2 linked regions of the Callithrix jacchus genome follow. The protein of the gene in region 2 interacts with the protein of the main gene of each other region in a biochemical or structural test. Links are inferred from orthologs where the notes say so. Each region holds a gene or a part of one and is shown on either strand. Other genes may lie near its edges.

Region 1 (4,394 bases), on a different chromosome or scaffold from region 2:
CAGTTATACAGTTTTGTTTCTGAATGGCTGTTTTTAAAGACAATCCTAAATTATAACTTAGTTTGACTTAGATTGTAAAGAATCCAAGAGTGAAGTTTAATTGGCTACTATTTTAAAAGCATGTGACCTTATAGATCATCTATAAAATGTGTGAAGTGTTAAATAATTTTTTATATTACACATAAACCACACAAAATGCCTTTCAGTAAGTAAAAGGAACCATTTTAAATACAGGGTACTCTAATTAGATTGGCATAGTTAAGGCCAAAAATATAAAATAGCCATTGCTACCCGTTTATCTTCAACCTTGCCTTTAAGAGGCAAACGAACACAAAACACAGGTGAATCTTGCTTGGTTCTGAGACTGTGAAGGAATTGCCCCCATATTTAAATATATTCACATAACCAGTCATATAAATCTAAATATAAAACCAATCTCCAGTAAGTTTTAAGATGGCACTCACCATCTTTGCGAAAAGTTTTAACATTACTAATGAAGTCTAATCATATCTTTAGAAGGGGTGGGTGTGACAGAATTTACTAAATTGGAATTACTATTAAAATCCAAAAACTGAACATATTCATTTAACCACAAGCCAGTCTTAGTCTTAAATCAGGACTGCCCAACAAAATATTCTGTCAGTCATTCATGATGTAAATTCTGGTGTATGAGATCTATTAAAGTACGGTACACATAAAAAAGTCATGAGACATTTGTTTTGTAATAAATAAGGCAGTGGCCAATTATTACTCATTAGTAGCTTTTTTGAGATAAGCTATTAAGTCTTCCCTTTCTCCCTTCTTCTTAATGCCGACAAAGATCATTTTTGTTCCAGGGATATACTTCTTGGGATTCTCCAAATATTCCATCAGTGTATCCTCTCCCCAGATGATGCCTAAATGATAAAGAATGCATCCATTAAGTATTTCACACTCCGGAGTTTGCCACAGGTTACGTTCATGCGTTTTGTGCTGTTTTATTTAACAAGTGTTCTCCTCTTACCTTTGTTTTTATTGGCTTCAGTGTAAGTGAATCCAGAGGCCTGACCTGTCTTCCGCCCAAAGATACCATGGAGATTAGGCCCAGTCTTGTGCTTGCCTCCCTTTTCCACCGTGTGACATTGGGAACACTTCTGAATAAAAATCCTCTTGCCTTTCTCAACATCACCCATATTGAATTCTAAAAACGAAAGACCCAACAATAATTTTTCTTCAGGTAACAAATACAGTGTAAACTAATGACCACTCTAGTCACTTAATTACCAATCCATTGATAATTTATGTCATTAAATACTAAGATGAATCTTCTTTTGCTTTAATACTTTTTATACCCAATACTCTTTCATACCAAAAACATTTTTTAGGAGCACCTCCTTAAAAACCTGTTTTTGTGTGTATACGTGAAGGAAGGTTAAAACCCAAGCAAGCAAATGGGAACGTAATTCAAACTTCAGTTTCAGAAGATAAGGTCATGATCACAAACAGTCACAGATACGAAGCAGAACAGCGAACATTAAGTGAAAATCACCACAACTGCAACTTTTAAGAAGGTCTAATCATTTAATCGTACTACAATGTAAAGCCACCTCTCCCTGAGGATAATGCAAAGCACAAATGTTTAAAAATCGGTCCTGGGTCCCGGCGCGGTGGCTCACGCCTATAATCCCAGCACTTTGGGAGGCTTGGAGGGGTGGGTTGTCATCACCAGGTCAGGAGAACGAAACCACCCTGGCTAACATGGTGAAATTCTGTCTCTACTAAAATACAAAAAAAAAAAAAAGCCGGGCGCGGTGGCTCATGCCTATAATCCCAGCACTCTGGGAGGCCAAGAGATTGAGACCATCCTGGTCAACAAGGTGAAACCCCGTCTCTACTAAAAATACAAAAAACTTAGCTGGGCATGGTGGCGCGCGCCTGTAGTCCCAGCTACTCGGAAGGCTGAGGCAGGAGAATTGCCTGAACCCAGGAGGCGGAGGTTGCAGTGAGCCGAGATCGCGCCATTGCACTCTAGGCTGGGTAAGAAGAGCGAAACTCCATAAGAAAGAAAAAAAAAAAAAAAAAAAAAAAGCCGGGCGTGGTGGTGGAAACCGGTAGTCCCAGGTACTAGGGAGGGCGAAGCAGGAGAATTGCTTGAACCCGGGAGGCGGAAGTTGCAGTGAGCCGAGATCGTGCTACTGCACTTCAGCCTGGGTGACGGAGCGAGACTCCGTCTTCAAAAATAAATTAAAAATAAAATAAACGGTTCTGATTGTTTCTACCTGCCCAGGGCACAAGAGTAGCTTGACACTACTCCTGCGTGAATTGGAGCGCAGGAGTAGGCTGCACGGTGTCCCCAAGAAATCCCCAACTCTCTTACCGGTGATCCCCCCGAGGTGACCACGAGGTCACCCATCCAGGTCGGTTTCAAGGTGACTGATGAAACCCACGTTTCTAGGACGCCGCAACGATTGAAAGAACAAACATGTGCCCACGAAAAGAACAACCCCTTATTAGAGGAGCAACAGCTTTTGCCCTCTGAAGCAGAAAATGAAACGCTACGCTTCGGTTTTAAGGGAGGGAAGTCTGGCCTATCGTTTCCATAGCCCTTCAACAACCACGACGGAAGAGGACGCGTCTTGCCGTCTCCAGTAACTGACCGAGACCTTAGTTGGGCTTCCGCCCTACCTCAAGCGGTTGATCGCCTGGCTCTCGTTTGACCATAGTCTAGGGTCCTCACGTCCGGCCTTCCCACCCCGCGCGGGCTCCCCTCGAAGGCTCCCCGCGTATCCTCGCGAATACGTGCCCCCCACAGCTCTGCTTCTAACCAGATGCGGCTTCCGCGACCCGCTCTCACCTTTTTCGTGGTTAGCGCAACAAAGACTACCACTCAGAAGCCGGACGTCCCACTCTCTAAGTCCAAGGACACGCCGGTCCGCGCCTAAGTACCAGTGTAAGTGCAACCAAACTCGCTCCGCCCTCCCGCGCCCTGACGTACAGCCGAGCTTGCGGCTACGCAGTGACGTTGCCGCGCTTCATTGGCTCCAGTGCCAATGCTTGCGCCAAGGATCTGCGCGCGCATACCAGCGAGCAGGGTAGGCTGTGCGGCGTGCGTGCCCTTCCTCTCCAGGCCTCTCTTGCCGGGCCGTTACGACAGGCCTTTGGTCAAACGACGTCGCGGTGGTGCCGGGAGGGGTGACGTCACTCGCAGGTCTTTGTGCGCTTGCGTATACTAGAGGGGCGGGGAGGGTGGGGCGGAGTCGGTGGTGGTTTGGCGCGTTACCCTGCTAAAGTAACAGGCCTGGTGATGTAATGAGCTTTGTTTGGGCAGGGCGTTCCGCACGTCCAGGAGAAGACGCCCTAATTCTGGCTCACCTAGAGGTCTCCTAGCTACCGTCTCGTCAGCAGACGACCTTTACCCAGGCTCTGTCATACTAACACTGCTGGCGCCAACAGCATCCCAGAGGCACAGCCTGGAACCAGGAGTTAGACGAGTTGGGCACTTGCTCGTGACCTTGTTCTAGTTCCACCTCTACTGTGTTACTTTCAGTCATCTTCTAGCTCTCCGCTTGTTGGACGCCCCAAGAATGGGGAAGGTGCTGCATTTGCGGTAGAGACAATTATATCTCTGGCCCCTTACCTGTCGGCAACTTTTCTGCCAGCGCCCTCCTCCCCCTCACGTTCGTGTGCAGAAAGAACATGGAAGGTGTGTTGGCACCATCTAAGAAGAAACATGTTTAGATGATTAGAGAATTCTTGGAAATCTAGAGGATTTGCATCCCTTCTGACCTAGGTAAATGTCATGTTCAAGTAAGCTTATGCATGAGGTCTTATTAGAAATAAAGGCGTTAATACCACAGCTTTTAGTTATTATAATTTAAAACTAGATCCCCTTCCTGACATGCTCAGTTCTGTCACTGGTTTTTTTTTTTTTTTTTTTTTTTGACACCTTTACTCCTCAAATTCTAGCCCCATGTTCTGATTAATTTTCATCCTTTCTTGTATTCTCTCCCCTCCACTCCCTCGCCTTGTATTCTATCTGACACTGCCGTATTCAGTCGTATTCATTGGCCGGACAAGGTGATTCACACCTGTAATCCCAGGACTCTGGGAGGCCGAGGCGGGCTAATCACCTGAGATCAGGAGTTTGAGACCAGCCTGGCAATATGACGAAACCTCGTTTCTACTAAAAATACAACAATTAGCCGGGCATGGTGGCACGCACCTGTAATCCCAGCTATTCACGAGGCTGAGGCTGAGACGGGAGAATCGCTTGAACCCGACAGGAAGAGATTGCAGTGAGTTGAGATCGTGCCACTGCACTCCAGCCTGGGCGACAGAGTAAGACTGTCTCAAACAAACAAACAAAAAAAGCATTTATTATGCATGTTATGTGCCAAGCATTTTTCTAGGTACAT
Region 2 (4,415 bases):
ACTCATGCTCTGCTTCATTGGAACACATCACTCCTCTTCTTTGATTGCCTCCCACCTTCTTTTTATTTTATTTTTTTGAGCAGAGTCTCGCTCTGTCATGCAGGCTGGAGTGCAGTGGCTCAATCTCAGCTCACTGCAACCTTTGCCTCCCTGGTTCAGGGATTCTTTTGCTTCAGCCTCCCGAGTAGCTGGGACCACAGAGGCCTACCACCATGCCCGGCTAATTTTTTTGTATTTTTAGTGGAGATGGGGTTGCACCAAGTTGGTCAGGATGGTCTCGATCTCTGAGACCCACCTTGGCCTCCCAAAGTGCTGGGATTACAGGTAAGAGCCACTGCACCTGGCCCTATTGATTGATTGATTGATTGAGACAGGGTCTCACTCTGTCGCCCAGGTTGGAGTGCAGTGGTGCGATCTCAGCTCACTGCAACCTCTACCTCCCACCCCAGCCTTCTGAGTAGCTACAGGGGTGTGCCACCATGCCAGCTTAATCACCTTTAGAATAAAATCCAAGCTCCTCACCAGGCCTATAGGTCCTTTTTGGTGGTCCAGCCCACCTCTCCCTCCATCCAGCCTCCCCTCTAACCATGCATGGCATGCTGGCCAAGATGGCCTCTCTTTTGTTGTTATTTTGAGATGGAATTTTTGCTCTTGTTGCCCAGGCTGGAGTGCAATGGTGGGTCTCGGCCGAGTCTTGTCTATTAACTGACAGTCTTGATCACAGCTTGTTAAGTAGGAACTATCATGAGCTTCCTTTCACGGGAAAGGTAAGAGGAGCTCAGAGAGGTTAGGCCATTTGTTGAAAGTCACACAGCTAAGATTAAAACCCCAGAGACAGGCTTTTTCACTACCTGTCACTGGGTGTAGGGGCAAGGTAGAGGTAGCACACCCCAGGCCAGCTCCCGGGTGCTTGAAATATTAATAGATGCTTCTTCTTCTTCTTTTGTTTTTTTGAGAACAAGAGAGTCTCACTCCGTTGCCCAGGCTGGAGTGCAGTGGCGTGATCTCGGCTCACCGCAACCTCTGCCTTCCAGGTTCAAGCCATTCTCCTGCCTCAGCCTCCCGAGTAGCTGGGATTACAGGCATCTGCCACCATGCCTGGCTAATTTTTTGTATTTTTAGTAGAGACAGGGTTTCACCATGTTGGTCAGGGTGGTCTCAAATTCCTGACCTCCTGATCTGCCCACCTCAGCCTCCCAAATTGCTGGGATTACAGGCGTAAGCCACTGCGCCCTGCCAACTTTTGTATTTTTAGTAGAGATGGGGTTTCACCATTCTGGCCAGGCTCGTCTCAAACTCCTGACCTCAGGTGATCCACCCACCTCTGCCTCCCAAAGTGCTGGGTGGTGTAAGCCACCGCGACCTGCCTAATAGATGCTTCTGGAGTAGGAGGCCTTGCGCCTGGCTGGAAGGTTGGCAAGATTTGAGTCTGCAGAGGCCTGAAGAGAACATCCCAGGTGGGAGAAACTGCAAGGAGGGGTGGGTGGAGGAGGCAGGGACACCCTGTTCATGCGACTACTGTCTGCAGAGGGTCTCCAGAGGCAGGACCCCCAGGGGTAGGGACGCTGATTCAGGAGTCGCTCTGCAGTCCTTCCCCCAACGCTGTAAGCCGAGGTGCCCCCAGGGACGCAAGCTGGGCGCTCCCACGCCCGGCTGAAGCAGGACGTTCCCACGCGGGGGCGGCTCTGGGAAAGGCTGTGGGGCGGGCCGGGGGCGGGCGCCCGCGCTCAGGTCCCTCCGGAGCGGGTTCTCCGTCGCTCGCTGGGCAGACCCAGGTCGCATTACTGCTGCGGAGCCGGCGAGGTGAGTGAGCTGGGGGTGGACCCCGTTACCCAAGCCTGCGCGGGTTGGAGTCGTGGCTCGGTCTCCTGCCCTCGCCGCGGGGTCATGCCCCGAGTGGTCTCTGTCATAGGAGGGCTTCTTGCAGGTGGGAGCTGAGGACTCCTTGGGAGTTATCCTCTGCTTATGAGTGCCACCTCTTTCCCCAAATACAGATTACACCCTCCCTCTCTCGCTATGTGGGGCTCTCCCACCCACTCATCATAATCACTGGCCAGAGCCCCTCCTTCCCAGAAGTGCGGACTGCCTCCTCCCACTTATCACCTGTGGTGTGCCCCCTCCCCCACTCTGTTTATTGAGTGCCCCTCTCTCTCCCTAGATGTGGGACCCCCTTCTCCCCAGGTGTGTGTTTCCCTCCCTCTGACCCAGTTAAGTCCCCGTCCTCTAAAGCCCCTCCCCACCTACATGGTTGCCAAACCCCGAGTCTTCCCTGGGGCTGGGGCACTGGGTTGAGCCAGTCTGGCTGAGCTCAGCCCCCCGCGCCCCCCTCCAACCAACAGATCCAGCAGAGCAGGCTCTATGTGCACGTAGGCACCCAATTAGGGGGGAAGGGGTGGGGCGTCTATCTGTCCTGCTGGTGCTAGAGCCTCTGCAGATGGCCCTGCGGGGAAGAGAGCCTCAGGACCTGCTCCCTCTCCACCTGGCCCCCCACCCAGTTTCGTCTGGGAAGCAAATAACTCAGGGGGATTCTCCAATCTGGCCAGACTGAGCTGGGGCTGGCACCAGAACCCAAGCCCTCAGCCTCACATGCCTGAGACCCTGCCCCAAGAGTTAGGCCTCCTCCCACTTCTCAGATGGTGAATTGAGGTCCCAAGAAGGGGTTCCAAAGGTCTAGGACCCACATTGACCACCCCATCCCCAGGGCTATCAGACAGAATGAGAAGGGTCAAGGGCATGAGGGTAACCTTGAAACCCTGGGACCCCTGCCACTACCATACCAGTGGAAAGGGTTTCTCCATCTGGCCCTGCGGTGTGGGGGCCAAGGGTAATATGGGGACAGAGCTCATCTATACCTCCGTGCCCCCAGATGCTCTCCAGAGCTGCTTGGAGCTTGATGCTGAGGAAAGGTGGACGTGGAAGACGAGAGATGCACAGCCCAGAAGCCCCGGGTGAGACCTGGACTCCTGCCTCTCAGCCTAACTCCAGAGCTAGGGGCAGGGCTCCCCTCTGCAGGCTGTCCCCTTTGCCCTTCCATGCCACCCTGGGCCTGTCCCTACCACACTTCCCATGATCCCATTCCTTGGTCCAAGGCCAAATTTCTCCAGGAAATGGAGCCCACGGGTAAGCCGACAGTGCCCGTCTCCATGCCAAGCTTCCTTAGGAGCCAGCCCCTGACTCAGGCCCCTAGGCCTTGTGCCCTGAGGTGAAGGATGCCAACCCTGGCTCCTCCTACCCAGACCCTAGCTTCAATGCTAGTCAGAAGAAACAGACCTGAAGCAGGAGAGACTTCAGCCAGAGAGCAGAAGGGCCTTGCTGACTGGTGGAGAATAAAAAAGATAATTTTGTCACTGAGCCCTTACTAGTACCCCGAGCTATGCTAAACATTTTATGTGGATTAACGTATGGACTTCACAACGATCATGTGAGGTGGACGTGGTGTTATCTCCCTTTCGTGGATGAAGAAACTCAGGCCCAAAGATCTGAATATTAGAAGAGGCAGGATTCCTTGCCCTAGGCAGCTCCAACACTCTCCCATTAAGGGGGTACCAGTGCCCTCCTTGTGGGCACCTCTGCTGTGAAGAGAAGCTTTGTTGAGACCGAGCCTAATGTCCAGCCATATTCTGGGCACCCATAGGGAGCGTTTGAGGGCAGAGCCGTCATGGAGAGCTTCCAGAAGTGGAGACCAGTAGTAAAACCAACCTCCATTAAACAGAATGATTTACTGAGCATCTGCTGTGTGCCAGGCACCGAAGGAAGCCTTTTTGTTTGTTTGTTTGTTTTGAGACAGGGTCTCTCTTGGTCATCCAGGCTGGAGTGTGCAGGTGCAATCTCGGCTCACTGCAACCTCGGCCTCCTGGGTTCAAGTGATTTTTCTGCCTCAGCCTCTCAAGTAGCTGGGACTATAGGAGCATGCCACCATGCCTGGCTAATATTTTTGTATTTTTTTAGTAGAGAGAGGGTTTCGCCATGTTAGCCAGGATGGTCTCTATCTCCTGACCTCATGATCTGCCAGCCTCGGCCTCCCAAAGTGCTGAGATTACAGGTGTGGGTCACCGCACTCGGCCTCAGGAAGCCTTTTAAGTGTATTCTTTTTTTTTTTTTTTTTTTTAAGACGGAGTTTTGCTCTTGTTACCCAGGCTGGAGTGCAATGGCCCAATCTCGGCTCACCGCAAGCTCCGCCTCCTGGGTTCAGGCAATTCTCCTGCCTCAGCCTCCCGAGTAGCTGGGATTACAGGCACGTGCCACCATGCCCGGCTAATTTTTTTATTTTTAGTAGAGACGGGGTTTCACCATGTTGACCAGGATGGTCTCGATCTCTTGACCTTGTGATCTACCCACCTCGGCCTCCCAAAGTAGTGGGATTACAGGCTTGAGCCACTGCACCCGGCCTTAAGTGTATTCTTTTTTTTTTTTTT

The links.
Region 1: the proteins of COX4I2 (region 2) and CYCS form a complex in vitro, tested with the Homo sapiens proteins (4 studies listed by BioGRID). The link is inferred for Callithrix jacchus from reciprocal best matches to the Homo sapiens genes COX4I2 and CYCS.

The regions. Positions count from the first base shown.
Region 1 is NC_133512.1:32,935,798-32,940,191, reverse strand, and holds the start of CYCS (cytochrome c), read right to left. Parts: upstream 2,892-4,394; 5' UTR 2,834-2,891; intron 1,181-2,833; 5' UTR 1,173-1,180; coding exon 1,004-1,172; intron 897-1,003; coding exon 748-896; 3' UTR 1-747. UniProt on the Homo sapiens protein: Electron carrier protein. The oxidized form of the cytochrome c heme group can accept an electron from the heme group of the cytochrome c1 subunit of cytochrome reductase.
Region 2 is NC_133506.1:7,562,318-7,566,732, reverse strand, and holds the start of COX4I2 (cytochrome c oxidase subunit 4 isoform 2, mitochondrial), read left to right. Parts: upstream 1-1,360; 5' UTR 1,361-1,457; intron 1,458-1,744; exon of another isoform or gene 1,745-1,803; intron 1,804-2,866; coding exon 2,867-2,948; intron 2,949-4,415. UniProt on the Homo sapiens protein: Component of the cytochrome c oxidase, the last enzyme in the mitochondrial electron transport chain which drives oxidative phosphorylation.